Callithrix jacchus: one gene and its partners. The protein of the gene in region 2 interacts with the protein of the main gene of each other region in a biochemical or structural test. Links are inferred from orthologs where the notes say so. Each region holds a gene or a part of one and is shown on either strand. Other genes may lie near its edges. The genes, in order: ITSN1, DNM2, SH3GL2 and SNX9.

The links.
Region 1: the proteins of DNM2 (region 2) and ITSN1 form a complex in vitro, tested with the Homo sapiens proteins (2 studies listed by BioGRID and IntAct, with this or other methods). The link is inferred for Callithrix jacchus from reciprocal best matches to the Homo sapiens genes DNM2 and ITSN1.
Region 3: the proteins of DNM2 (region 2) and SH3GL2 interact in a biophysical measurement, tested with the Homo sapiens proteins (2 studies listed by BioGRID and IntAct, with this or other methods). The link is inferred for Callithrix jacchus from reciprocal best matches to the Homo sapiens genes DNM2 and SH3GL2.
Region 4: the proteins of DNM2 (region 2) and SNX9 form a complex in vitro, tested with the Homo sapiens proteins (2 studies listed by BioGRID and IntAct, with this or other methods). The link is inferred for Callithrix jacchus from reciprocal best matches to the Homo sapiens genes DNM2 and SNX9.

What each region holds. Positions count from the first base shown.
Region 1 is NC_133522.1:39,728,669-39,736,466, forward strand, and holds the start of ITSN1 (intersectin-1), read left to right. Parts: upstream 1-2,570; 5' UTR 2,571-2,781; intron 2,782-7,798. UniProt on the Homo sapiens protein: Adapter protein that provides a link between the endocytic membrane traffic and the actin assembly machinery. Acts as a guanine nucleotide exchange factor (GEF) for CDC42, and thereby stimulates actin nucleation mediated by WASL and the ARP2/3 complex.
Region 2 is NC_133523.1:9,990,871-9,997,659, forward strand, and holds part of DNM2 (dynamin-2), read left to right. Parts: intron 1-445; coding exon 446-557; intron 558-1,726; coding exon 1,727-1,891; intron 1,892-4,211; coding exon 4,212-4,444; intron 4,445-5,354; coding exon 5,355-5,606; intron 5,607-6,205; coding exon 6,206-6,275; 3' UTR 6,276-6,789. UniProt on the Homo sapiens protein: Catalyzes the hydrolysis of GTP and utilizes this energy to mediate vesicle scission at plasma membrane during endocytosis and filament remodeling at many actin structures during organization of the actin cytoskeleton.
Region 3 is NC_133502.1:124,387,216-124,394,370, reverse strand, and holds part of SH3GL2 (endophilin-A1), read right to left. Parts: intron 6,542-7,155; coding exon 6,383-6,541; intron 4,727-6,382; coding exon 4,623-4,726; intron 2,289-4,622; coding exon 2,158-2,288; intron 124-2,157; coding exon 1-123. UniProt on the Homo sapiens protein: Implicated in synaptic vesicle endocytosis. May recruit other proteins to membranes with high curvature. Required for BDNF-dependent dendrite outgrowth.
Region 4 is NC_133505.1:164,735,566-164,742,720, forward strand, and holds part of SNX9 (sorting nexin-9), read left to right. Parts: intron 1-2,920; coding exon 2,921-3,046; intron 3,047-3,163; coding exon 3,164-3,281; intron 3,282-7,155. UniProt on the Homo sapiens protein: Involved in endocytosis and intracellular vesicle trafficking, both during interphase and at the end of mitosis. Required for efficient progress through mitosis and cytokinesis. Required for normal formation of the cleavage furrow at the end of mitosis.

The DNA of each region.
Region 1 (7,798 bases), on a different chromosome or scaffold from region 2:
AGTGTAGTGGTCACGATTTCGGTTCACTGCAACCTCTGCATCCCGGGTTCAAGCAATTCTCCTGCCTCAGCCTCCTTAGTAGCTGGGATTACAGACATGCACCACCATGCCCAGCTAACTTTTGTATTTTTAGTAGAGACAGGGTTTCACCATGTTAGTCAGGCTGGTCTCGAACTCCTGGCCTCAAGTGATCCGCCTGCCTCGGCCTCCCAAAGTGCTGAGATTACAGGTGTGAGCCACCACGCCCCGCCTAATATGTGTATTTTTGCTCTTCTACTCTTAAAATTCTCCTGAGCTCAATGTAGTACTAATCATTGGGTCTACAAAAAGAGTATAGTTTCACTGCACAAGGCTGGCAGCTTGATCTTGTATGGGGAACTCTCTCAAATCTAAACATCTTATCCCCTGCTATAAGCTGGAACAGAGGCATCAGTGAAGGGAAATCAGTAATAAAAAGTAGTAATTTTACACTGCAGTGGCTGCTGGATCAGATTTAGAAGTCAAAACTGCCTCGAGTTTGAATCCTGGCTCTCCTACTTATCAGCTGTATGACTTTGGGCTACTTAATTTTAACCTTCTGGGCCCGAGATCCCATATCTTAGATAATAACAGCAGTTATCTCAAAGGGTTGACATAAGGATTAAATAGTACATGCAAAGCACTCAGGGCAACATCATACTTTCAGAAATGTTGGCTATTTTAACTATTATTTCTGTAAGTTGGGCATATTTCAATTACAGAGAATCTCTAAAGTAGTTCTGAAGCCCATCTCACAGAGTTGCAAAGGGTTTCGTCAATGCAACCTTACTTTTCACACCTTTTAATTTCTGCAGTGGGCTACGGTAGCAGCCACTAGCACAGGTGGCTACTGAGCACTCCAACTGTGTCTAGTCGGAATTGAGATGTGCTGGAAGTGGAAAATACACATCAGATTTCGAAGATTTAATACGAAGAACGTAACATCTCAATTTAAAAATATTTGATGAAGCGATGAAACAGTAATGTCTCGGATATACTGGGCTAAATGAAGAATATAATTAAAATTAATTTCACGAAGTTTCTTTTCACTTTTTAAATGTAGCTACCCCAAAACTTAAAATGACATAAGGGGCTCGCAGTATATTTGTACTGGACAGAGTTTAGGTAAAACCTTGCTGCTCATAACGTGGACAGCCACACCTGGGAGCTTCTTAGAAACGCAGATGTTTCTGGCTTCTACCCAGACCTACTCCAAGGCAATGCTTACATCTCGCTCCAGATTATTCCGCTGTTTAGCGGAATGAAGAGGGCAGATCTGGCTCGAAAGCCACATACAGCGAATAATTACTAACTGCTTTCCGAATACAGCAAAGGGATGAGGAAGAAAGAAGTGGCTGAGAAGAAGTAACAGAGGAAGAAAAACACACTCAAATTCTAGAAACAAGCAACAGTGGAGAAAGACTCAACCTGGGAGATTGAGTGGAAGGGCACTCCCAGACCTCGGTCTCCATAAAAGTAGAGGGAGATGCAAACTGAGATAAGACCTACAATCAAAACCCGTCAAGGTCCAGGAAACTGTCCCTCAAATCTAGTCTTACCCGCCCCTCAGCGGCCTCAGCTAAGCTAGGCCTGGGCCCGAAAGAGTCTCCGGTTGGGGTTCGACGCGAACCACCATCCTCCCCAGGGCTGCACGGTTTCGTGGGGCATCTCTCCACCTTTCGCTTAAAGTCCCGTTTCTCAAGACACAGAACGCGTTTCCTGGGGCTCACCTGCCTCTGATCCGCCCCAACGGCCTGCACCTTCGCCACCGCCACCTTCAAGTCCTTCCGCAGAGAGCCCGCCCCCCGCTCGCATTGGTCAGGTGGCTCGTCACTCCTGAAGGGCGGGGTCGGACTTGCGAGGCTGTCGAGGACGCCATGGCAACCGGTCTCGAAACTACATCTCCCGGCAGGTTCCGCTCGGGGGCGGGGGAAGAGGCGAGGCACAGCCCTAAGGGCTACCAATAAATGGGCGAAGTGGGAATCGCCTGCATGGGTTCCGTTTTATGCAAATTCTAACTGAAGACCACACCCTTCCTCATTCCAACCACTGCCCCTGCCAACCGCTTTGGGTGGTGCTTCGCCTCTCTTTTCCTTTCCACATTATTCTCTCCTTTAAAACCTCCAATAATTAACTTAGTAAGTGCATCCTATCTAGCGTCTTGCACTGGAACGAGCAGATGCGCCGAAATCGTGGAGCAAAATCTCCATAAACCACGATAGGGCAACATCAGACAAGAAATCCCCGGTTTCGCCTACGTCGCGGGGAGAGGAGTGCTAATCTCGCCCCCCCCCTCAACGCCTGCTGATTGGCTCATTTGGCTTGTCACTGTTGTCTTACAGTTCTTTGGCTCTCCCTCCTTGGGTTTGCTCGGTGGGTGGGGCCAGCGGTAGGGGGCGGTGAGAAGGTGCGAGCCTCTTCTTCCGATTGGCAGGAGGTTTTTCCACCCACTTGTGGGCGGAGACGGGGGGGTGGATGGGGGCGGAGGAGGCAGCGGAGGGAGATGAGGAGATAGGCGGGAGCAAGGGAGCGAGGGAGGGAGAGAAGGAGGTAGAGAGGAGTGGAGGCGCCGGGGGAGGGAGAGCAGCTTGGTTGCTCCGTAGTACGGCGGCTCGCGAGGAAGAACCCCGAGCGGGCTCCGGGACGGACGGAGAGGCGGGCGGGGATGATTTGCGGGGCTGCGGCTCCTGCGTCCCTCCCCGCGGCGCGTGAGCGGCACTGATTTGTCCCTGGGGCGGTAGCGCGGACCCGCCCGGAGATGAGGTGAGGAGCGGGCTGCACGGCGGCGGCCTGGATCGCGGGCGGCGGCGGGGGCGGGGGTCGGCGCGGGGGTCGGCGCGATGGCCGCCCGGGGCGTCCGTCCCGCGCCCGGTGCTTGTCCCCCCGGCCGCCCTTCGCTCCTCGCCGCGCGCCCGGGAGACGGCAGCGGCCGCCCCTCCGCCTCGTCCTTCCCGTCCTCGGGGGCGGCGGCGGGGCGGCGGGGCGACGGGGCGACGGGCGGACCCGCACCGGGAGGCCGGGGGCCGCGGCGGGCCGTGGCGTGGCGGCCGCGGGACCGGCGTGGGGATGAATGGGCGCCGCGGCCCCGTCGCCGAGCGGGCTCTCTCCTCCCGCGGAGACCCCGGGCGGCCGCTTCTTCCCGGGCTGACCTCGCTGCCCTCGGCCACCGGCGCGGGGCGGCCCGGCCTCGCCTCCCGCTGGCCTCCCGGGGACCCGCGCTGGCGGGAGCGGCGCCGCCTCTGCCTGGAGCCCCCGCTCCTTCCTCGGCTCCTCACTCGAGAGCCTGCAGAATCCTGGGTCAGTGAAGGGCAGGCAATGCCGTTCGGCCCCAGGGCGCGCCGCGGGGCCGCCCCTAAAGGCATTTAACCGAGAGCGGCTCCCGCGCCCTGTGAGCGCGTCCCCGGGTCTGCCGCGTCCCTTCCCTTCTTACGCACCGACACGGTTTTGTGGTGTGGACCCAAGGCACAATTGCGGCCGCTTGCTTGCACGAGGGAATGCCATCAGAATTCCCAAGGAAAGGAAACCGGCGAGGAGTCGGCCGCACCTTCCTGCGCTTCTGCTTGCTTTGGGATTCGAAAACAACTTCGGAGATTACATTTCCTATGGGCAATCTTTTGTTTTGATTCAGACTCGAGAAGGCTTTGCTTTGGAAGAAATAGATTAGCTTCTTCTCTGTGGAGTTGGAGGCGATGGAGATTTTTATAGCCTCTTCAATATGAAAGTTTCCTCTAGAACTTTGCCATCATCGTGCTGTTCTGAGGGCAGCAGCAACCTGGAAATTTAAATATATGCAGGCTCCGGCCAGATGCGTTTCTTTGTGCCTGTCTATTGGCATTCTTCTCTTGCTGTTCCCTCTTGATCAAAACGTACAGATAATAAAAACAGAGCCAATGAGAGGGTGGATAATAACAGCAAATTCCATACAAACAAATGCCGCTAGAAATTCTCAGTTCTGTCAGCGGGGAGGCAGTTTTGCTAATCCCGTGGAACGGATGAAGAGAAAGGCACAGAGATCTCATGGATTATGTAGTGGACAGGATGTGAGGGCAGGAACTGGGGCCAGGACCCAGCAGGCCAGCTGGTTTGCATGGTGCCACTCTAAACCCCCAAAATATGAATAGATGGAATGTATTTTTTGGATATCTTTGTTTTTAGATGACTTTAAGGCTGAGAGTGCAGAAGCTTAAACACCCTTCATAGTTATTATTTCTTAGTTTATCTCTGAGAACAAAATATGTTTCTGTTTAAAATTTCTTTTACTGGTTTGCTGGAAACGTTATTTTGATGGGAGCTTCCTTGTTAGTAAAAACATTAAAAAATACATACATGTGAAAGAAAAATCCTTTCTGCAGGTGGATTTGTAAAGAATCCAGGGACTTTTAAGTCATATAAATTAAGGAATGAGGGACACTAATTTGATGATGGTGTTAAAATTACTTCAGACACCCTTAAGTAATCCATTAAAGATCATTTCTGATAGTATGATCTTTTTTAAAAAATGGTATTTCTTTATCTAAGAATGTATCTGTTGAAATTGCTGAGGCGCATGGTACCTTCAGAAATCTCCATTATTATTCTGCCTGAGTAAGAGAGGAGATGAACAAATTTTTAATGTACTTTGGAACCCTGTGGATTGCTCAGATACTAAGCATTGTGAAATAGGGCATAAAATAGGGTAGCAAGTTAGTTCTGTGAAATGTTTGTCTCTCTTGGCATTTTTTTTTCTTGGCAGTTGACTAGCAATTTTCTTTTTCTTAAAGCTTATCTTTAATATTGGTAGTAGAACCTCTGCTCAAGTTTATCTTTTCCCCAAATGCCTAGTTTGGGACAAACTATCAAGCTCCTGCAAGAGATGAAGGAGGAGCTGATGGTAAATGCCTTTACTTTTTTTTTTTAAGACAGGGTTTGGCTGTGTCACTCAGGCTGGAGTGTAGTGGCGCAATCATGGCACACTGCAGCCTCTAACTTTTGGGCTTCAGTGATCTTCCTGCCTCAGCTTCTGGTGTATCTGGGACCACAGGTGCATGCCACCATGCCCAGCTAGTTTTCAAATTTTTTTCTAGAGACAGGGTCTCTCTATGTTGCTCAGGCTGGTCTAAAAAGCCTGCCTTAAAGGATTCTCCCACCTAGACACTAGGCCTCCCAAAGAGCTGGGATTACAGGGATGAGCCACTGTGCCTCATCCAAATTCCCCTACTCTATTCTTTTTAATTTGCTAAAATTTGCGAATTGTAGAGAATTAATGACATGAGAGTTGGGGTTATATTACACACCTCAGATTATTCTGCCATAGAGCTATTGCCTTCTGAATGATCACTTCCTCCTGAATGGCTCCACTTACTGGTTGGGTTTCTCAAAGTGTGGACCACGGATCATTTACCTCAGTGTTAATGGAGGCACTTGTTAAAAATACAGGTTTTGGGCATGGTGGCTAAAGCCTGGAATCCCAACATTTTGAGAGACTGAAATAGGAGGCTAGCATGGGCCCAGGAATTTGAGACCACCTTGGACAACATAGAGAAACCTTGCCTCTGAAATAATTTAAAAAAAAAAAAAAAATGCGCTGGGCATAATGACTCGTGCCTATATTCCCAGCTCTTCTAGACTCTGGGGTGGGAGGATCTGGTTCACTTGAGCCCAGGAGATCGAGGCTGCAGTGAGCCATGATTGTCCTACTGCATTCTAGCCTGGACAACAGAGTGCCTGTGTCCAAAAAGTAAGTAAGTATATAAATAACATAAAAATAAATACAGGTTTCTGTCACCTCACCCGACAGCTGGAGGTGGAGCCCTGGAGTTGGTATTTTTACTGCCTTCTCCAGGAATTTCTCTTGCATAGGGAAGTTGGAAACCAGTGGCTTCCTTCTTGCTGAGCATCTCCTGAGACCTGCTTCTGAAGTGGATAGAAAGTTTTTCTTTTTCTTTCTTTTTTTTTTTTTTTTTTTTTTTTTTGAGACAGTCTTGCTCCGTTTCCAGGCTGGAGTGCAGTGGCGTGATCTCGGGTCACTGTAACCTCTGCCTCCCAGATTCGAGCAATTCTCCTGCCTCAGCCTTCCGAGTAGCTGGGACTACAGGTGCGCACCACCAGGCTCAGCTAATTTTTGTATTTTTAATAGAGATGGTGTTTCACCGTGTTGGCCAGGATGGTCTCTATCTCTTGACCTCGTAATCCGCCCACCTTGGCCTCCCAAAGTGCTGGGATTACAGGTGTGAGCCACTGCGCCTGGCCCGGATAGAAAGTTTTTCAAGTGGCAGGTTAAGTTTTATGCCTTAGGTTGCTAATAAAAAACAATTGACCATGACCTTCAGCTACATAATTGTACCTGTCATGTACCTTTCAGAAGGCAAAGGCTTTGGTTCACCACTGTACCACCAGGGCCTAAAACAGTGCCTGGCGGAACTCAATTAAATGTTTGTTGAGTGAATACATAAACTACATTGCAGTGAGGCCAATCTTTTTTTTTTTTTTTTTTTTTTTTTTTTAAGAGACAGAGTGTCACTCTGTTGCCCAGGCTGGAATGCAGTGGCATGCTCTCAGCTCACTGCAACCTCCGCCTCCAGGGTTCAAGCAATTCTCTGCTTCAGCTTCCCAGGTAGCTGGGATTACAGACACCCACCACCATTCCTGGCTAATTTTTTTGTATGTTTACTAGAGACGGGGTTTCACCATTTTGGCCAGGCTGGTCTTGAACCCCTGACCTCATGCTTTGAAATCCTGACTGAACTCCTGATCCACCTGCTTTGGCCTCCCAAAGTGCTGGGATTACAGGTGTGAGCCATTGCGCCCGGCCAGGCCAATCTTTTAAAAGTTTACTTGTCAAATTAATCTATAACTTAGTAGTCACTGACTTTTTAAATTAGGAGCCACAAGCACCATACGCCAGTGACTCCTGTAAGTTTGGTTAGTTTTGAAAGGAGAGACATTTCCCAGGAGTAGTATGCTCAAGGCGACTAGCCAGAAAGAAGATTCATAGCAAAGCATTTGCTTAGAGACTCCAAATGTAAATTTATGTTACAGTGTAGTGGTACATCTTATGTCATACTTATATTTGGTATATTGTCTTATATCGAAATACCATTTTATTAACCATATAATTCCAACATACTGCTATAAAAATTGGTTTCTAACAAATACAAAGAGTTGTTATGTTTTCCAATTTCACTTTTCACGTTAATAAAATTTGACCTTTACACCTTCTTTTCAAGAGTTCAACACAGGGCACCATAGATATTATGTAGTTACGAGTGCAGACTCTGGAGAATATTGTGTTTGACTACATGTAGTTGGTGAGTTTGATCGAACCTCTCAATGCCTCATTTCTCAGCTGAAAATAGGAGTAGTAATAATCAAGTTCAGATATTTCTATGTGCTTACTTACATAAGTTTTTGAGACAAATCCACTTAATAAATGGTAGTTATAGTGATGATAAAGAATTGGGATGTATAAAAATACACAAAACTCAAAAGCTAACCGATTTAAGTGTTGTACTACTGTACTTTATGGTAGTAAGTAGAAGTCTGTTGCTTAAAAAAGAAGTTTCTTTGGTGATGTGTGTCTGTAGTCCCAGCTACTTCGGAGGCTGAGGTGGGAGAACCACTTGAACCCGGGAGATTAAGGCTACAGTGAGCTATGATTGCGCCACTGCACTCCAGCCTAGGTGACAGAGCCAGACTCCGTCTCAAAAACAAAACAAACAAACAAAAAACCCTGTAAGTCTACTACCTGCATACATATTTCTTCAGATACTTTTGTGTGGGTGCATGGGCTATTCATACACAA
Region 2 (6,789 bases):
TCCACCTCCCAGGTTCAAGCAATTCTGCCTCAGCCTCCTGAGTAGCTGGGATTACAGGCGCCTGCCACCACGCCCAGCTACTTTTTTGTGTTTTAGTATTGACGGGGTTTTACCATATTGGCCAGCCTGGTCTCAAACTCCTGACATCAGGTGATCCGTCCACCTCGGCCTCCCAAAGTGCTGGGATTACAGGTTTGAGCCACCGTGCCTGACCAACTTTCTTTTTTAAAAAAAAACACACAAAAGTGCAGATAAAGTTCTGATGGACAGCGCTGCTCTGGGCTATCTGGGAGCTCCCCAGCCACAGTGGGTGTTGGGAGACACATGCCCACCTCTGGGTTAGGATTGGGTTCCTAATCAGTTAGAAGGACCCCCAGAGCCCATGCCTCTGGGCGGTCTGCCAGGCCCATGGTCAGGGTCAAGCATGCCCCCCCCACCCCCGCAGAAATGTCTACAAGGACCTGCGGCAGATCGAGCTGGCCTGTGACTCCCAGGAGGACGTCGACAGCTGGAAGGCCTCCTTCCTCCGAGCCGGTGTCTACCCCGAGAAGGACCAGGTGAGGAGCTGCCCTGCACAGCTGGCACACCTCAGGCCCGGCAGCCCCCACCCAAGAGAGGAAACAGGGCTGGCTTTCCCCAAGACTGATCATTTCCAGGCCACGTTAGCCAGGATTCTCTGAAGTCATGTAGCAGATGCCCACTTGAGCAAGCAAAGGAGAAACTGGGGCACTTTGTCATCAGGGCCCAGAAAGTTCTCTCACTGAAGCCAATGACGGCGGCACGCAGGGGATGGGATTCCACCTGCTTTGTTCTCTTTTCCCCTTCCATCCTTGAGGTAGAGTGAACATGGCTACCCTTGACCCCAATATTAAAATGTCTCAGCTGGGCACAGTGGGTGGCTCACACCTGTAATCCCAGCACTTTGGGAGGCCTAGGCGAGCAGATCACTTGAGCTCAGGAGTTTGAGATCACCCTGACCAACATGGTGAAACCCCAACTCTACTAAAACTGCAAAAATTAGCCAGGCATGGTGGCGCATGCCTGCAGTCCTGTTACTCAGGAGGCTGAGGCAGGAGAATCACTTGTACCCAGGAGGCGGAGGTTGCAGTGAGCTGAGATAATGCCATTGCACTCCAGCCTGGGCGACAGAGCAGGACTTCATCTTAAAAATAAAATAAAATGTCCCAAGGTCGGGCGCAGTGGCTCACGCCTGTAATCCCAGCACTGTGGGAGACTGATACGGGCAGATCGTTTGAGCCCAGGAGTTCAAGAACAGCCTGGGCAATGTTGTAAAACCCTGTCTCTCCAAAAAATACAAAGCATACCCAGGCATGGCAGTGTACCTCTGTAATCCCAGCTACTCCAGGGGGCTGAGGTGTGAGGATCACTTGACCGCCCCCCAGGAGGTTGAGGCTGCAGTGAGCTGTGTTTGTGCCACTGCACTGCAGCCTGAGTGACATAGAAAAACTATCAAAAAACAAACAACAACAAAAAACAACCACGTTCCAATGCCCAGGTGAGGGGATTCACCCCAGCATCAGCCAGGATCACCCCATTGTTTGGGCAGCTCTGGCCTGGGGCAAGCAAGTCTGCCTGGTACCAGCGGGGCTCTCAGGGGCCAGCATGAGGTCAGTTATCGATGGGACAGTAGGGCAGATGGTTACCAGAGAACCAGGACTCGCCCCAGGCCAAGGTCACCCCTAAGCACCTCACCTCCCACTTGCAGGCAGAAAACGAGGACGGGGCCCAGGAGAACACCTTCTCCATGGACCCCCAGCTGGAGCGGCAGGTGGAGACCATTCGCAACCTGGTGGACTCGTACGTGGCCATCATCAACAAGTCCATCCGCGACCTCATGCCAAAGACCATCATGCACCTCATGATCAACAATGTGAGTGGAACACTGAAAGTGAGACGGAGGCGGCCGGGCGTGGGGCTCACGCTTAGTCCCAGCACTTTGGGAGGCTGAGGCGGGTGGATCACTTGAGGTCAGTTCAAGACCAGTCTGGCCAGCAAGGCAAAACCCCATCTGTACTAAAAATACAAAAAGTAGCCAGGCATGGTGGCACATGCCTGTAATCTCAGCTACTTGGGAAGCTGAGGCAGGAGAATCACTTGAACCCGGGAGGCGGAGGTTGCAGTCAACTGAAATCGTGCCATTGCATTCCAGCCTAGGCAACAGAGTGAGACTCCATCTCAAAAAAAAAAAAAGATGAGAAGGAGGTCAGGCATCCTGGCTCACACCTGTTTGTAGCACTTTGGGAGGCTGAGGCGAGAGGATCACTTGAGCCCAGGAGGTTGAGGCTGCAGTGAGCTGTGGTCATGCCACTGCACTCCAGCCCGAGCAACAGAGTAAGACCTTGTCTCCAACAACAGCAACAGCAACAAATCAGAACAAGTCACTACCCTTTAAACACCAGAATCTGCACGGCCAGTCTCTTTGGGAAACCCTAGGGCTTCCGAGCCATACTGGGTCCATGGTCCCATTGAGTCCACTAACTGGAACGAATACCGCAGATCTGCACCTTCTCTCAATTACTTTATGCCGGCCTCAGACTAACTGCACGAGGGAGAAATGCTATCTTCTCCATGGTGATGGGCACCTGTAATCCAGCTACTCAGGAAGCTAAGGCAGGACAGTGGCTCGAACCTGGGAGGCAGAGGTTGCAGTGAGCCGAGATCATGCCTTTGCACTCCAGCCTCGGCAACAGAGTGACACTCCATCTCAAAAAAAAAAAAAAAAAAAATGAGGCCGGGCGCGGTGGCTCACACCTATAATCCCAGCACTTTGGGAGGCCGAGACGGGTGGATCACAAGGTCAAGAGGTCGAGACCATCCTGGTCAAAATGGTAAAACCCCGTCTCTACTAAAAATACAAAAATTAGCTGGGCATGGTGGCGCGTGCCTGTAGTCCCAGCTACTCGGGAGGCTGAGGCAGGAAAATTGCTTGAACCCAGGAGTCAGAGGTTGCGGTGAGCCGAGATCGCACCATTGCACTCCAGCAACTGGGTAAAAAGAGCGAAACTCCGTCTCAAAAAAAAAAAAAAAATGAGAAGGAGGCCAGCCACCCTGGCTCACACCAGTTTGTAGTCCTGGCACTTTGGGAGGCTGAGGCAGAAGGATCGCTTGAGCCCAGGAGGTTGAGGCTGCGGGGAACTATGGTGGTGCCACTGCACTCCATTTCACAGACAGAAAACTGGAGGCCAGAGAGATAAAGTAACCTGCCCCAAGTCCCTTAGGAGAGTAGGAAGTGGGATTCAAATGCACGTTCACTCTGGTTGCAACCTTGCCTTCAGGTCGTGTCGGGCAGCTGCTGTGTCCTGATGGGCTGGGGGCGCAGCCTGTCTTCCTCATGGGCATCACCTGCCTGGCCCCAGGTTCCCTGGAGACTCTCAGGGCTCTGAGTTCCTCTTCTGTGAAATGCAGCTGTGCTGATACGATCTCCAGCTCAGGCTGCTGGAGGGTTCAGGGCATTTGTGGGTCATGCCTTTGGCATGGCACTAGCCACTCAAAAAGCTTTATAAACCAGCTTTGGGGCTGGAGCAGTGGCTCATGCCTGTAATCCCAGCACTTTGGGAGGCCAAGGCAGGTGGATCACCTGAGGTTGGGAGTTCGAGACCAGCCTGACCAACATGGTGAAACCCTGTCTCTACTAAAAATACAAAAATTAGATGGGGTGGTGGCGCACACCTATAGTCTCAGCTACTTGGAAAGTTGAGGCATAAGAATTGCTTGAACCCAGGAGATGCAGGTTGCAGTATCACCCACTGCAGCCTGGGTGATAGAGTGAGACTGTCACAAAAACATAAACAAATAAAAGTATAACAGGACTATTCTGCCAAGGTTAAGGAAATAAATAAGAAGCTAAGACAGTATCAATAGAAGAGACAAGATGCTAGGAGTAAGTTGAATAAGAATCTCATAAGCAGCCTGGGCCGCATGGTAAAGCCCCATCTACAAAACCTAGCTAAACATGGTGGTGTGCGCCTGTGGTCCCAGCTACTCAGGAGGCTGAGGCAGCAGAATTGCTTGAACCTGGGAGGCAGTGAGCCAAGATTGAGCCACTATACTCCAGCCTGGGAGACAGAGCAAGATTTCTCAAAGAAGTCTGGGGGTGGCCTCGCCCTGTGGGAGATGTATTTCCAGCAGTCATTATGGGTTCTGGGTTGGGGTGATGCAGAAGCCTGAGCCTCCCCAACCCCTGCCCGCAGACAAAGGCCTTCATCCACCATGAGCTGCTGGCCTACCTGTACTCCTCGGCGGACCAGAGCAGCCTCATGGAGGAGTCAGCCGACCAGGCGCAGCGGCGAGACGACATGCTGCGCATGTACCACGCCCTCAAGGAGGCGCTCAACATCATTGGCGACATCAGCACCAGCACCGTGTCCACGCCCGTGCCCCCGCCCGTCGACGACACCTGGCTCCAGAGCCCCAGCAGCCACAGGTCCGGGAGCCTGGTTCCCCTACCCACAAGCGTGCAGCCTGCAGGTTCTTGTTCTCCCCGCGTGTCCTGCAGGGTCCTGGCAGGAAACGGGACACAGCCCAAGGGTGGGCAGGAGAAGGGGCGGCCCCCAGGCTGGGCACAGTGGGAGCTGCTGCCTTGCTGAGGCCTGAGAAGGGAGAGAAGGGGAATGGGGGCCAGCCGGCCTTGGAGCTCTAGGGCTGGAAACCATGAATAAATCCACCCCGTCTGCCCTCTGCTGGTGCCTTCCATCGGCACTGCCCAAATGGAAGCCAGGGTAAGAGGCTGGAGGGGCAGCAGCCACAGAACAGAGATGAGCCTCCTGGAGGACAGAGAAGGGTGGGTGGAAGGCTCTGGTGAGGCAAACGGAAGGTGTGGCCAGACCTGCCCTGCCCCCGAGGTGTCGGATGGAGTGTAGGCCATTGAGGCAGTCACAGGGAACCTCGGGGCCACCCTACAGAGCCCTTGGGGAGCCATGGTGTTAGGGGGAGTACATTGCACCTAGGCCTGCAGGCGGCAGGTGCTGGGGCCCAGGAGGGAATCTGGGTTTCTCGGAAGGGCTTGTGTGTTCCATGGCCCCTGAAAGCTTTAAGGCTTGATCTGGGAGGACTCTGGAGTGTCTGGCTGTGAGGGTGGATCCCAGGGCCCGAGACCTGAGGGAGCCGTGTGAGTGGGAAGTGCTTGGCCACGTTGGGGCTGCGGGGACGAGGTCAGAGGGCAACAGAAGCCCTTGGGGGCCGGGAGAAAGGGAAGGTGGGTCTGGCGCTCAGGTTGGGGTGGGAGGATCCCACTGCGCCTGCGCTGTCCCCCCAGCCTTGGGCCCTGGCAGCCACAATTGGCATGGCTGGGATTCCCACTCCGTCTGTAGTTCACACCCTTTCCTTCCTCACAGCCCTACTCCTCAGCGCCGACCCGTGTCCAGTGTGCACCCCCCAGGCCGGCCCCCAGCGGTGAGGGGTCCCACTCCAGGGCCCCCCATGATTCCTCTGCCCATGGGGACAGCAACCTCCTCCTTACCACCCCCAATCCCGTACCGGCCTGGACCACAGAGCGTGTTTGCCAACAATGACCTCTTCCCGGCCCCACCTCAAATCCCATCGCGGCCAGTTCGGATCCCCCCAGGGATCCCCCCAGGAGTGCCCAGGTAAGGCCAACCCCCTGCCCCCCACCCCAACTACCTGTACCCTGGGGTCTCTCCTCCAGTCTCACTGCCTCCCAGTGAGCTCTCCCCATGTGCCCAGCTGCTGGATTGGAGGAATTGTCCTCATCCCCATTTGGCTGGCTGGGAAGCAGGCCCAGACGGGCCAAGAGGCTTGTTCAGTGTCACAGAGTAGGGGAGCCCGGTGACTCCAGGGCTCCCAGCTTGCCCTCTGCCCACTGGGATGCACTACCAGGCAGCTGGGGATCCCTCATGCTGGGCACCTTCTCTCACTGTTAACCTTGTTCCTGCCTCTGCCTGCCTCACTCTACCCTGTGGGCCGGGCCTTATTCTCTCTGCTTATCCAGTGGGGAAGCTGAGGCCCAGATAGAGCAGGAAACTCACCAAGGGTCAAACAGCAGGTGAATCGATGCCTGGGGTTCAGCAAACTCCTCCCCAGCACCCTGGTGGCTTGTGGAGCCGTCAGCCCAGGGAGCACCCTGGGGTGGCGTGTGGGTGGGGGCTGGGTCCTCAACCAGGCCTGCCTCTGGCTCACGGCCTCACTGCCGTCTCCCCCTCCCCACCTGTCTTTATTCTCTTTGCAGCAGAAGACCCCCTGCTGCGCCTAACAGGCCCACCATTATCCGCCCAGCCGAGCCATCCCTGCTCGACTAGGCCTCGAGTGGGGGCATGCTCTCGGGGGGCCTCGCGCACCCATGGCACAGGAGCTTCAGTGGTCTGGGGCCCTCCACCACCCCTATGCTGGGACCAGGCTCCCAGTGGGCAGCCCTGGCCTCTTCCCTAATGCTGGCCCGGGTCCAGGGCCGGCCCCTGTGCCTGGCTGGGGGCAGGCACCGCACTGCGAGAAAGGGCCCTGGACCTCCAGGCAGGGGGTGCTGGGGTGTTGCACTTTGGAGGATGGGGTCTCAGGGTGGCAGAGGGGGGACCTGCACCCTCGACACCATCTTGAATGAGGGGTCCAGCCTGGGGGACTCTGCCAGGGTCTTCTTGGGCTGGGAAAGCCCAGTAGGGCAGGGGCCTTCTAGAAGTGGGGGCACCAAGGGCGCCTATGTCCCCAGGCCTTGCTGGGGCACGTCAGCGTCCCATCAGCAGGAGCTCCCCAGTGGTGAGCCTGGCCCCATGGGCTCTTCGGCAGTGCCCAGCTGCCAGGCCTGAGTTGTACATAGTC
Region 3 (7,155 bases), on a different chromosome or scaffold from region 2:
ACCAGTTCTCATCAATTTGGTTAGTGAGTGTGATGATATCGCCCTCTTTAAATCCCAACTCCCCTTCATTTTCAGGTTCAAAGTCGTACAGAGCTCGGCAGCAGGGCTGATCCATTTGGACACCTGAGAGTAAAAGCAGGAGAGAAGAGAACACAAGAGGATGAAGAGTATTTAACTCACAGAATCTGCTGCCTGCTGTACCCACCTGGCTTTCTGTTCCCCGTCTTTCCTCCCTCATTCCTCTTCCTGTTGAAGCTTCTTCTTGCTACCAGACCTCAGTGTCCACTGCACTGGGCATCTTGCCCGCTACTAGTCCTCAAAAATTTCCTCAAACCTTTGGAAGTTGCTATATATTCCTGTTTCTGTTTCCAGTATGAAAAATGGTCACATCTATTCTTGTGATACATACAAGAGTTCATTAAAGTCTGCCTTCATGATAATGCCCAGTAATAAGAGGCATAATGACTTCAGAAGAATAGAATGATGTAGGTTAATAACACAGCATGGCCAGAATTCTCTCACGTGAGCACTTTAAAATCTCTGCATATTTGAAAAAGTATGGTTACTTACATGGACAATGTTTTGCAACCTCAGAGTAATAGTTCAGTTATCACTCTTTAAAATAACAACCCTAGCCTCTGGAAACTGCTGTACTGTAGTAAAAACAGAATAATATAAAACACTGAGTTGAAATTCTTTTTGACCTTGCACAAGGTACTTCACTCTGAGTTTCAGTATCTGAAACTGGGTCTAACAGTAGGACTTACTACACATTACTATTGTGGCTATTAAATTAGCTTCTGAAAAAAAATCATAAAATGTATACTTGGTAAATTGTTGTATATATAAATATATGCAGTGCCCTGGAGCTATGGCATATAAAAAACAATGTACTCTACCTTGAGTAAAATAATGAAGGATGAACTCACATCTTAAGAGGGATCTTTCCAAATGACCCAATCCATTAATATTACACACACACACGTAGATAGAGACTCAGTCAAGCGCATATGGCTCCCATGCCATCTATGTGGCAGGAAAAGAAACAATGTAATTTATTTTTTGATTTTAGACAGAGAAGCAAATTAATGAGTCTCCAGATGAAAGGTGAAACATACGGTTGGTTTCCAGGCAGGGAGAATCACAGCTATACACAATTTCTATGACCAGTCCTGGTAGCCAGCTCCAGGAGCCATGGCTGCTTATGCCGTGCCTTGAAGCACTGAGCGCAAAGGACAGAGAGCGCCACCTGCTGGCTCAGACCTCACTTTTTTCCTTAATAAATCTCCTGAGAGCATGTTATAAAGTTTTCTACTTTAGAACATCAAGCACGGAGGATGCAGGAAAAATAAAAGAAAGCTGCCTGTCTCTAACATCCATATGCAGTATAAAACGGTTCCCACTTTGAACAAGCAAATGTGGAGGTTGAAAATGTCTCCAGCACAGGCTGTTGTGTAATCTATGTGTAGGGCATGGAGAACAAGTGTGACAAGGAAAAGAATACTCTATTAGGTATGCATTGATATTCCTGAGATTAAATGTCATCTAACTTTAATTATATCAAACTCAGTACAACAGCATGATAAACTGATCAGAGGTGAGGCATGGGAAAGAAAGCTAGCAAGTGTTGAAATTAAAAATATCTTCTTCTGCAAATATATTTAACCATATGTTTCTGTGACTCAAGAAATCCAGCTCATCAGCACATTTCTGGAGCCGCTTGCCGTCTGTGGGTTATATGTGAATGCATATGGGGACACGCTGCCCAGGGGTATTCATTGTTATGCAGGCTGGATTCAGAGAGAACAGGTAGGAAACAAAGATAACACTTGTGGCACCAAACTGACAAGGAAAGGTGATTTATGACCACAAAAGAGGGTCAGAATAAAATATGTTCATGTGTGCTGATGACTGAGGGAGAAAAAGGGATATACAAAGTTTTATAGAGAAGAATGAAAAGGAAGGAAAGAAAAAGGTCAATGAAAGAAGACAAAAGGAATTCTTTAACAGAGTTTCTACCTGACAAACCACCCCATAAGAAATATATTACTGCATATTTCCTATGCAGCCAGATTGGATTGTTCCTACAATTTCTGCAAAAGTGCCGATGGATATGCCAAGGCCTATGCAATAGGACCTGCAGTCTCAGCTCCTTACCTGAAGGTTTGGGCGTGCCTGTGTGGGAGAGACCCCCGTTGGGCTGAGTACTGTCTCCAGTTGGAAACTCCAGGCTCATTCGTGGTTTAGGTTGATATTCCCTTCTAGGCTGAGATGAAGCCTGTCTTATTCTGCAGTAAAAAGGAAAGTGGTGGGAGGGTTATGTAGCCAGTTAAGAAGTAAAAAGAAACATGAATATAAAGATTCAGGATATGCTTGGGTCACCCACCATTCTACCATGACAAAGTGTGGGAAATCAAAAAAGGACCCTTAGTTTTCTTCTATGTGTATATCTGAGATTTTGGTGATGTCTTTTTATGGGGCCATATCCTTACTATCTTCATTCTCTCTCTCAATCCCTCACTTCCTCTTTCATTTATTCGGAGTCCTTTATGCAAATACACACCGTACTAGGTAACAGGAACACAAAAATGAATTAAGACACAGATCTTGTACACAAAGGATAAATGTTTGAGGGGATGCATACCCTATTCTCCATGATATGACTACGATACATTGCATGCCTGTATTAAAATGTGCCATGTACCCCATAAATATATACACCTATGTATCCGCATTTTTTTAATTAAAAAAAAGACACAAACAGATTATGGTCTGTAAGGGAGGGAGAACATCAACAACTGATTACCATAAATTTTAGTAAGCACTGTCAGAGATATCTACAAAGTGCCACAGGAACACAGGGGTGTAGTTGGTGGTGAAGGTGGGAAGGAGACTACCTCTCCATGGGGAAGGTAGAGAAGGCTTAAGGAAAGAACTAAGATATACAGGAGTCGTTCCCAAATGAAAATGTGAAAGGAAGCTATTCCATGCAGAATATGAGAAGGTTTAGACAGAGGGAAGGAGGAAATGTAGTGTGTGCTCTGAAGAGAATGGGCAGTTTGAGATACAGGGAGGAAAAGATGAAAGAGGGAAGACAGAGGGAAATTGGAAAGGTACGGCCAATAAGTGTCTTCTGCCCACCCCTAAATATTTTCCACAGTCTCAGGTATTCAATAAACAAAGTATGTAAGAGATGTGCAAGGGAGAACGAGGGTTTAGGGTATGCTAACTGTAGACTGATACTGATTTTGAACATATTTCAGAGGGAAAAAAGGAAAGTGCTCCCTTCATGCGCAAGAGATATTAAAAGACACATAACATTTCTTTAGTATTTTGAAGTACATGGTTTTAAAACCTTTCTGGAGGCTTACATACATTTCCACAAGGGTGCACTGAAGGAAAATGCTCAATCAAACCACAAATCAAAGAAGATACTGAGACAAGATCAGTCAGAAGAAAACAGTGAATATAGGTGATATTTTCAACAGCGTGAAATTGTATGACTAGACTGTTCATCATGCATTCAGCCATGTGATCAGCTAGCTATGGGAGTTTAACCTGGCCATGTAATCTAAGAAAAAAGCCTGCTGAGTTGACCCTTTGAGGTATATGTGTTCAGCAAAATCATCCTGTTTAATCTGGCTAAATTAAAATAAAAAGCATATGATAACACAGGGCCACTGGTATGTAGCCACACAGGCTGTGCCCCAGGACCCCACAGAGCCGCACTCACATGGTTTCCTGCTGCTAACACCCTGCTGTGAGGTGCAACTAAGGAGGTGAAAGCAGCTGTCTCTGATGGCAGAGGACCTTCATCACCATTCAGAGAAACACGAGATGTAAAAATAAACAACCCCCTTTTTTTTTTTTTGAGACAGAGTTTCCTCTTGTTGCCCAGGCTGGGATGCAATGGTGTGATCTCGGCTCACTGCAACCTCTGCCTCCCGGGTTCAAGCGATTTTCCTGCCTCAGCCTCCAGAGTAGCTGGGATTACAGGCATATACCACCATGCCTAGCTAATTTTGTATTTTTAGTAGAGATAGGGTTTCTCCATGTTAGGCTGGTCTCAAACTCCTGACCTCAGGTGATCTGCCCATCTCAGCCTCCCCAAGTGCTGGGATTAAGAGCGTGAACCACCATGCCTAGTCAAAAAGAGCCTTTCAAACAGGTTATGGTTGGTTGTGAACTCCAGTCACACCACTGAGTAACCCTGAGCTAGTTCCTTCACCTCTCTTAGCCTCAGTTTACTCATCTGTTAGTCGAGGCTAAAAATACTTAGGTTACAGGGCTATTATAAGATTGATGATGATATGTATCCAGTACCCACACGGAACATCTGCCCAGCAAATGGCATCCATTATCAGCAGTAGCCTCCTGGTATCCCACCTGTGGCAGCCAAAATATAATCCAGGTATCGACCTCTCATAAACAGAAAATTAGATTAAACAGAACAATGCACAAAACAAAACAAAATCAAAACCAACAATACACAAGGTGCCTCTGCAGGATAAGCAGGAATTCTGGCAGATGTTTGTCTTCAAATGTATTCTATGATTTCCATTTCTTTCTACATCATTTTATAGCAAGAAAATGCAAATGTGAAATGCAGGGAACTAGAATACCTTTCTTCCAGTCTGACCGTGACTTGCTGCAGGATCTGGACTGCCTGCTTGTGGTATTCCAGCTGAGCTTGCACAAGTGCAGAGAGCTGGCTCACTTGTTCAATCTGCAGATGGATGGGAAAATCATGCCTTAGTTTCCACATCACCCTCCTTAAGCAGCCATTACTGTTTCATACATACAACAGAGCTGCCCTCAACACACAGCCCCTGCTTGATGGTACTGATGACTGTGTCATGAGCCAACTAGGACACATAGTTCTGCAGGTTTCAAATCGATCAAGGATAAGAAAGCATCCTTATGCTTAGAACCACACATATCAGTACCATGAGGAGAAGCAACATTAGGAATCCTCAGGAAGACCACATAGCTCTATAGAGTCTCATGCTTAGCCACCATCTTGTATTTGGGATTTGACTTCTTTTATTAATTTCCCATGGGAAAGAAGGTATATTGGCCAAAGGACTCTTTGTTCCCTATATTTTTCATGCTGTTAATATCAGTCCTGTTAATAAAAATGTGATAATATCTCATAAAATGCACCTGGAGAGATGATATGGTATGAGAGTCTTCTGTGCTCTCTGAGCTTCATCTATAATGTAAAAGGGTTAAATCAAGTGACATCTTGAGTTCATTCCTGCTCTAACATTCAAAGATTGATTTCTCTTGATTTTGTGTTTCACATTATGATCCAGCTGGGAAGCAGCCTCCAAGCCATCAGAGGCAGTGTTATCCCATAAATTTGGGGATGGGGAGGGGTGCTGGGTGGCAGGGAAGGAGCACTGTGATTTGAATCACCCCTCATGCCCACAGTATTTCTCTCAAGGAGTTAGGTGGACACAAGTTGTCTTACATAAACACAAACCTACACTGTCTCCAGGTGGTAGGAAAGTCTGGATATGTTCAAATGCCTCCTCTGCCACAGTCAGGAGTAGGCAATGTGATGGTTAATGTTAGCTGTCAACTTGACTAGATTAAGGGATCCCCAGATAGGTGGTAAAGCATTATTTCTGGGTGTCTGTGACAGTGTTTCCAGAGGAGACTGGCATTTACTCAGTAGGCTAAGGAAGAGCTGCCCTTCCCTATGCAGGTGGACACCATCCACTCATCTCAGGACTCAGAGAGAACAAAAAGCAGAGGAAAGGCAAATTTGTTATCTTTTTGTTCTAGGGAAGGGTACCCATATGCTCCTGCACTTGGATATCACATCTCTAGGTTTTCTGGCTTTTGGACACTGGGACTGGCACCAGTACTACTGATGCCCCGTCCTCCACAACTGAGTTCTCAGGCCTCTACTGAATTTATGCATAGATCATCAGAAATATTCTTTATCTTTCCACTGTTGGTAAGTGAGATGTCCCCGACTTAACAATTTGTAGGCTGTACAACAGTGCAAAAGTGATATGCACTCAGTAGAAACCATACTTCAATTACCCACACAACCACTCTGTTTTTGACTTTTAACACAGTATTCAATAAATTACATGATCTATTCAGGACTTTAACCCCATCATAAGTTAAGAAGCATCTGTACTTTAAGATTCATTAGCAGACAAGAATCTGGTTAAATCAAACTACAGAAAGGTGGAAAAAACTTTTCTATTTCTCAGTCTACTTCATCAAAATTATTTAAAGGACATAACTACTGAAGTTCTTATCACATAGTGTAATCAGATATTAATGCTTTAAGGGTTAGGCCCTTTAACACATTAATGCTGTGCCTTGATAAGATTAAATTGAAAACCACAGGAGAGTCACTTACATCCATCTCCAAGAGATTGAACATGCTTGACTCAGCAATTTCCTTAGACTCATCAAACTTCTCTAGAGCTTGACGAAGCTCTTCATCCGGAATCTTGCCTTGTCGTTTCTTCTTATAATCAAAATCCAGGCGTCGACCCTCCAACTTCTTTAGATGATGCTGAAAAAGGCAAGGGCAGGAATAAGCTTTGGAAGGGCTTATGGAGAAAGCTTATTTGCATCTCACTTCTCCATCATGTCCAATAACTTCCAAAAAGATAGGCTAAATTTTAAAGTACAATGTAACTGAAGAAAAAAAGAAACATGCATTGATGGGGCCAATGCTTTCAAAGGCTAAATATGGGGGACTATCTTTAAAAATAATTAAGAATAAAAGATGAATTGTAGGAATATGAATGCCCTTTATATTCTGGCCTTGTCGGGCCAAAGCCAAGCTGGACTAAGCCTTTCCAGCCCATGACAGAAACAGAGAAGGAATGTATAGGCCCTACACACATTGAAAGGACACACTCACAGGGCCCACAGTCCCCATCTTTAAGAGAAATTATATCTCATGGGATGCCAGAGGAAAAACACTTTCCTTGAAATTAAGTGAGACATAAATGGCATTTTTGCTTTTACAATCATCCATTCTGTTAGAATCACCCAAGTTGCTTATTACAAATATGGATTTCCAGATCTTTTGAATCAATATCTAGGGCTGGGGCCTAGGAATCTACATCTTAACACTTGCCCCAGCTGACTGATAGAGCTTTCAGGAAACCACTGATTTAG
Region 4 (7,155 bases), on a different chromosome or scaffold from region 2:
CATCATTAAGAATACCTGTCTTAAAATTATGTGGTTATCGTATAACGTGACGCAAGCCCTTTGGTTTCACTCCACATTTTGATCAGTGATAGATTTTCTGTCTAGGTGATATTTAGTTGTAGATTCCCAAATGAAACTCTGGAAAAGAGAACTGTAGCTATCTTCTGATCCTGTTGACTTAACCCTGTAACAATCAGATTGGGAACAGGGGGAAGCCTTGAGTGTTCTCACCCTGGACTTGGTCAAGGATAAGGAAACATCTGGTCTTACTCTGTAATCTTTGGAGACTTGATAAAATTGCAGGAAGAGTGTTAGATTCTCTAATTATTTGTCCCTACATCTTTGAATTCTTGAAACTCTTCAGACTCAAGAGTTGTATAACCAAGAGCCTTTGTTATACTTTTTCCCTCAAAGCAAATTTAGGGTAGCTAACTTCTGAGTACTTATATTAAAGATTTTTTTCCTGTTTTCTCTGGACTTAAAAAAAAAATGAACATGTACCATAATTCTTTTCATTACATTTAAAACTCTGCAAAGTCCAGGGCTCACAGCTCTGCCTCAGATTCTTTGTCTCAAGCATGCAGTGGTGGTACAGAGCTAAGGGTCCCAGCCTTTCATTGACCTGCAAGTTTTAGGTAGAACTGGACCCAGTAGTAGGCAGGTCTGCCTGTGTGGGCCTCTTACATGGAAAAAGCTGAGGAAAGCCACTGTGTCTTCAGGAGGCCCAGAGAAAGCAGAGACTCTCTTTGCTCTAAAAGTGCAGTAACCTTGCCCACTCATGAAACAGAACCCCATGAAACTGGGCCCTAGCCCAGCACAGTTGCCGCTCTCGGCCCACTCATGGAGGGAGTTCCCAAAAGTCATCTTCTCTGCAGCTTTCTGGTAGTTTCTTGGATCTGGGCTCTCTCTGAGGGAGTTATAGTCATTCTCAGAGATTTTTCTTTTTGGTCTCTTTTTAAACTACTCTTATCCTTGGACTAGGACACTTTTCTGACCTAACAGACTCCAGACTCTGGACTTTTATATCCCAACCCGCTTTTCCCATCTTCCACTTATATATGTATATATATGGCCAGGTGCAGTGGCTCACACCTGTAATTCCAGCACTTTGGGAGACTGAGCTGGGTAGATCACGAGGTCAGGAGTTCAAGACCAGCCTGGCCAAGATGGTGAAACTTTGTCTCTACTGAAAATAGAAAAATTAGCCAGGCATGGTGGTGGGTGCCTGTAATTCCAGCTACTCAGGAGGCTGAGGCAGAGAATTGCTTGAAAACGGGAAGTAGAGGTTGCAATGAGCCGAGATTGTGCCACTGCACTCCAGCCTGGGCAACAGAGTGAGACTCCATCAAAAAAAATGTGTGTGTGTATGTGTGTGTATATATGGACCACTTTTTTTTCTTATGTCTGCCTGGCCTTGCCTCTCTGAGGTCTCAACCTAAACAAATCTCTCTTCCTTCAGCCCAGTCTGTGTGATTTTTCTAATTTTCTTTTTACCTTCTTGCTGTACTTTTTCAAATCTGCAAGAATAAAACCTGTTCTACATATTATTTCATTCTCCTTGAATCTCCAAGTGAATTCCCTTCCTAGAAATAATGGTCCTTTTGCAGTTTATTCTATTCCTAGATTATGATTCAATTATTTTTCATTTTCAAGCCAAGAAAATAGGTAGCATTCTCAGTATAATAAGGACTTCTGTTGCTCTGAAATGTGCTTCGGTAAGATCTGCTGTCCTCCAGTCTGAATCTCTAGAATCAATCTGTCATTGTGATCAAAGCTTCTGAAATGAATGTGCCGGCAAACAGCTTGACTGTTGGTGACCCAGGGAGTGACTCCAGGAGCTGTACATGAGCTCCAGCATCCAGATTCCTCTGCAGCTGCCCCCATGGCCTTGGATGTTGTTTTAAATAAGATGAACAAAACCAGGTTTGCGACAGCAGACCTGTTGTCTCCTAGCAATGCCTAGCAGAAGTGATCCTCAGGCTCAAAACTTACACACAAGGTGTTTACATCCCCATTTGGAACTCGGCTGGTTTCCCTTCCTCACTTCCCACCGCAGCTAAAACCCCAGCTAACTAGTGGTAGCCTTGCCTGAATTTTTGAACTTTGGCCCTTGTCACAGATAGGAGAGAAGGCCAGTGGGAAAGGAATGGAGGCCTCCCCTCTTCGGGCAAGCCTTGCCCAGGTGGGCCTGATACCTGGGGTTGGAAGTGAGCCAGACAGCTGTGCATAGGCACAGCAGTCCGTGGAAAAAACAGCTCGCCTGGTTCTTGCTTTGAGACGTAGTACCTCCGCATGCCCCCACCGCCCCCTCCCATACTAGTAGTAAAACAATGGCTCTCAGGCTCTGGCCAGTCTGATGAATCACTTCTGTGAGCCAAAACAGTGCTACTCAAAGTATGGTGCAGAGACCAGTTGTCCATCTGAAAACTGCTTGTTCCTGATCCGCCGTGAGATGGGTACAGAACACGAGAGTACTTAGAAAACTTGAGGGCAATTTGGTACTGTTCAATAATCACAACGTGTAATGTTTCACCAAACTATTAGTTTGTGATAGATTGGAAAATTTTAAAAAGTAGTTCTTCATCACATGTAGCTTGAGACAGCTAGACTAGAAAGAGACAAAGAGACATTGTGTTGTAACCAGCACTCTCCTCGGGGGAGGGAAGCTGGTATCTCTTCTCCATGGGCTGAGCTACCCACATGGGAGCAGAGGGGTTGTCCCACAGGCGTGTTCTTTAAACATAATATCTAATAGGAACAGAAACCGTTGAACCGTTTGTTACTTCTCAAAGAGGAACAAGAATGGCCCCCCAGAGGCCTTGTCATTCTGAAAAGAATTACTTGCTGATGTACATCACTTGTATTTATTGTTTTTATTTTTCCATGTAACAAAATTACTTTTTTCTGGAACGATGCATAGGTTGGAGATTATGGCCCAATGTGGGTTTATCCTACCTCTACATTTGACTGTGTGGTAGCAGATCCCAGGAAAGGCTCCAAAATGTATGGTCTGAAGAGCTACATTGAATATCAGCTGACACCTACTGTAAGTGTCCACGTTATCAAAAGCAAAATCATGTTTGCATCACTGATTGCAGCTTGCTGTTTTCTTCATGTTCTGGAGTTGGCATTGATAACCTTTTCTCTTCCCCTCATTTTGTAGAACACTAATCGATCTGTAAACCACCGATATAAGCACTTTGACTGGTTATATGAGCGTCTCCTGGTTAAGTTTGGGTCAGCCATTCCAATCCCTTCGCTTCCAGACAAACAAGTCACAGGTGAGTGTGTTTAATGCTAAACTCAGGATGACAAATAAAAAGACTCCAGCTAGATTATCCTCCTGTAAGTCAGTGATAGCGTTTCACATCCTATAGAGCAGCAGGATGTAGGAGTTGGAAACAGTAACTAAATTCAGCTATGAAGAGAGAACCGTAACATTTAGTACATATATCTGGAAGTTGCCTAAACATCTAACAGGAACATTTAATGTACACATCAGAGGTCTTTGTATGTGTCTTAAATTCCAGCAGAGTCATTGTCTTCATGGCAGCACCCTTTCGTATAAAAGAAATATTTAAAATATTTAAAGATTTCACATTTAAAATATGTGAAAAGGGACACCTGAAAAAGTAGAAATGAATCATTCAAATAGCCTAAAAAGGAAATAAAAACATATGACCCACATACTGCAAATAGGTTATACAGATGAGCTGCATCATTTCATTAGATGAGTGAGCGCTGGCCGGAGAAGCCACGAGGCTGCTAAGTGTTAACGAAGGAAGAAGCTGCCCTATTTTCTACTTAGGTTATTACCCTCGCCCTTTTCTTATTTTTTAAAAGTGCCACATTCCTCCCCCCGACCCCAATCTTTTGGTAAGTAACCCATGTTGTTACTAGAGCACTTTGTGGGTATTCAGTAGAAAGGGTTTGTTTCTGTGTCTGGGAATTGTTTTTGTTTTTAATCTCCAGCCGGTAGACTCTGGTACTCTGTGTAGCCACTCAGGGACTCAGCATGCGTGTGTTAAAATAAAGGTTGTGAAGAAACAGACTTAAAGGTTAAGCAGAGTTTTAGTATATTGCAAGAAAATGTTCACATTCGTGAATTAGTGAAAATAGAAAAGAGTGGACCGAGAGTGAGAGGAGGTCTTAAAAGATCAGAGCCAGAGAGGCCTGTAAGAGATGTGAAGAGGCTCACCTGAACACAGGGAGAAGAAACATGGAGGGGTAAAGGAAGGGTTCTTTCCCCAAAGGTCAGGGAAGACCAGAGGCGGTGGAATTCTCACTGCACTGGCAAGAGTCGAGATAAATGGTTCAGAGAGGGCCTGCAACTTCACAGCCAGGTAGTGATGCCAGATGGAGACATGTCAGCACTGCGTGGGGTTCGCCCCACATGTGCCTGGACACTTCCCGAGTGCTTCTCGTCTGTCCTCACAGACATCTATCTTCACTTTACAGATGAGGAAAAGGAGATCCAGAGACATTAAACAGGTTCCCCTCTCTCTTGCCGAAAAAGGAATTTGAATCTGATCCCACAGCTTACTGTGTTCATGTTAACATGTGGACTGACTAATCTTTCCCTAGAATTAGTTTTCATACAATGAGTAAATTACTCTCCTTAAAACATTACTCTGTATTTTACTTTGTTTTATGTTTATTTTTCTCTGAAGTGTTTTGTGGAGATGGAAAGTTTTGTTTTTGATTTTGATGTTTTTGGAAAACTTCAAAAGTTTCAAATTGTCATAGCAAAATGGAAAATGAGGCTGCACTGCTGAGTAGAGAAACACATCCCCACAATCCCCTAGGTGACACTCGAGTGGTCCCTCATGGTGCTGGGGCCGTGGCTGCTGCTGCCTTCTGCCCAGAGGTTCTGACTGCACTCCTACTTCTAACCCAGCTCAGACACTCCCTGTACCTCCTTTTGTCATCCTTACTGCTTTCCATCAGCTTTCTTTTTAAAAACACAGCTTTCTTTCCATGAAAACTTCAGTTCTGCCTTTTAAAATTATAGTCTGTTTCCTTGAATTTTGTACTCTCCTTTATCAACTTAGCACAGTGTGTGCTTTATAGTGTTTAAATACATGGATTAATGGCCTATTTCAGGATTGTAGGAAATTCTCAATCTTTCAGATTTTAATACATTGTTTATTCTGAATTGGATAATTCAGTGCTTTTTTTAAAGCTTCAGAGAGTCATGGTTCTCCTTTCATACTAAGTTTTGTTTAAAAAAAAAAATAAGTTCAGGCATGCAGCCAGGGGAATAGCATAGAAAAGCAAGAAAGCAGCAGCCCCTCGGTGTAAAGAAGTTGAGCTTTGATTCACTGACTGGGATGTGAGCCAAGGAAGCCAAAGAGCACAGAAGGGCTCTATTCCCCTCTCACTTGTTTCTCTTGCCTGTGGTGCCTACAGGTCGTGATTATATAAGAACTCCCTCTAACTTCACTACGGGAGAAAAAAAAAGGAATGATTGGTAGATGATGCTTTGACATTGCTGTGGACCCAATAATTCCTCCATGAAAAATGTACAGTTAAGATTTCTTTGTTTTGATATTATTGTTCTTTATGGAATTAATATTGAATGAATATGGTTTTATTCCTGGTACCAAACTGATATATTTACATACTTAATGAAAACCTTAGTAAGGTTCATTGAAAACAGGGAAACAAAAGTTCCTCCTTTTTTTTAAATTCTCTGCAACTTGGTCTGAAAATCCTACCAAGCATAGAATTACATCTGAAGTCATAAGCTTAGAGATAAACCAGCTATGTCAGAAAAATTTTGACAAGAAGAATTTTTTAATAAAACAAGAATCGCTGAATTTCAACCAGTGATTGGGTAATGAACTCTGGGTGTAACTCACCTGGCCATAATGGGGAGTTCGTCATATCCCAGGTTCATGCTGGCTTTCCAGCCAGGAGGTGGATTGTCATCTTTCCAAGGCACGAGGCTTTGTTTCTGCTTAATCTACTCCTAGTAAATGCAGAGTTTGAAATGCTTTAGTATGCAGTGTCTAGACTCATTGTTCTGTTCAAGTCTACTTTTTAGATGATAAAAGTTTTTGATATGTAGGTGCATAATACCTGTGTTTTATTTATATATTTTTTTATTTTTTTATTTTGGAGACAGGGTCTCACTCTGTCACCCAGGCTAGAGTGCAGTGGCACTATCATAGCTCATTGCAGCCTTGACTTCCTGGACTCAGGTGATCCTCCCACCTCAGCCTCCTGAGTAGCTGGGATTACAGATGCATGCCACCATTGCCTGGCTCTGCTCATAATTTCTATTAAAAAAAAAAAAGAGAGTTCAGGATTTTTAAACTCATGTACAGTAAATTCACTCTAAGGTGTGCGGTTCTGAGTTTTAATAGCTACCACTGCAGTCTTGCAACCACCACCACATTTCATGGTACAGAACAGTTCCGTCACCTCCCCAGGTTCCCTCGTGCTGCCCATTCCCCTAGTCCTAACCATGGCAACAGCTGATGTGTGCTTTGTGTTCATAATTTTGCCTTTTCTAGAGTGTCATTGTAAATGGAAGCATGCAGCGTGTAGTCTTTCGATTGTGGCTGCTTTCATTTAGCATAACGCATTTGCAGTTCATCCATTTTGTTGTTCTTTTTATGGCCAGTAGTATTCCAGTGTTCAGATATACCATAGCTTGTTTATGCATGCACCCATTGAAGGACATTTGAATTTCCAGCTTTTGGCAATTGTGAATAAAGCTTCCATAAACATTTGCATACAGGTTTTTGTATGACCATAGTTTTCATTCCTCTTGAGTAAATAGGAGTAGAAAGACTGGGTCATTTGGCAGGTATGTGTTTAATGTTTAAGAAATTGCCAGACTGTTTTTCAAAGAGGCTATACCATTTTGGAATCCTCAACAGCAGTGTATGAGAGTATCAGCAGTTCCACATCCTTACCTGCACTCGACAGTGTCAGGTTTTCCTCATTTTAACCAATCCTATAGGTATGGAGCATATCTCAGCGTGGTTTTGATTTGCATTTCCTGATGGCGAGTAGGATTGAACATCTCTTCATGTGCTTATTTCCCATCTGTAGATCTTCGGTGGTGAAGCGTCTGTTCAGATCTTGTGCTCATTTTTTATCAGTCTCTTTTCTTATTGTTGAAACCTGAGATTTTAAAAATACATG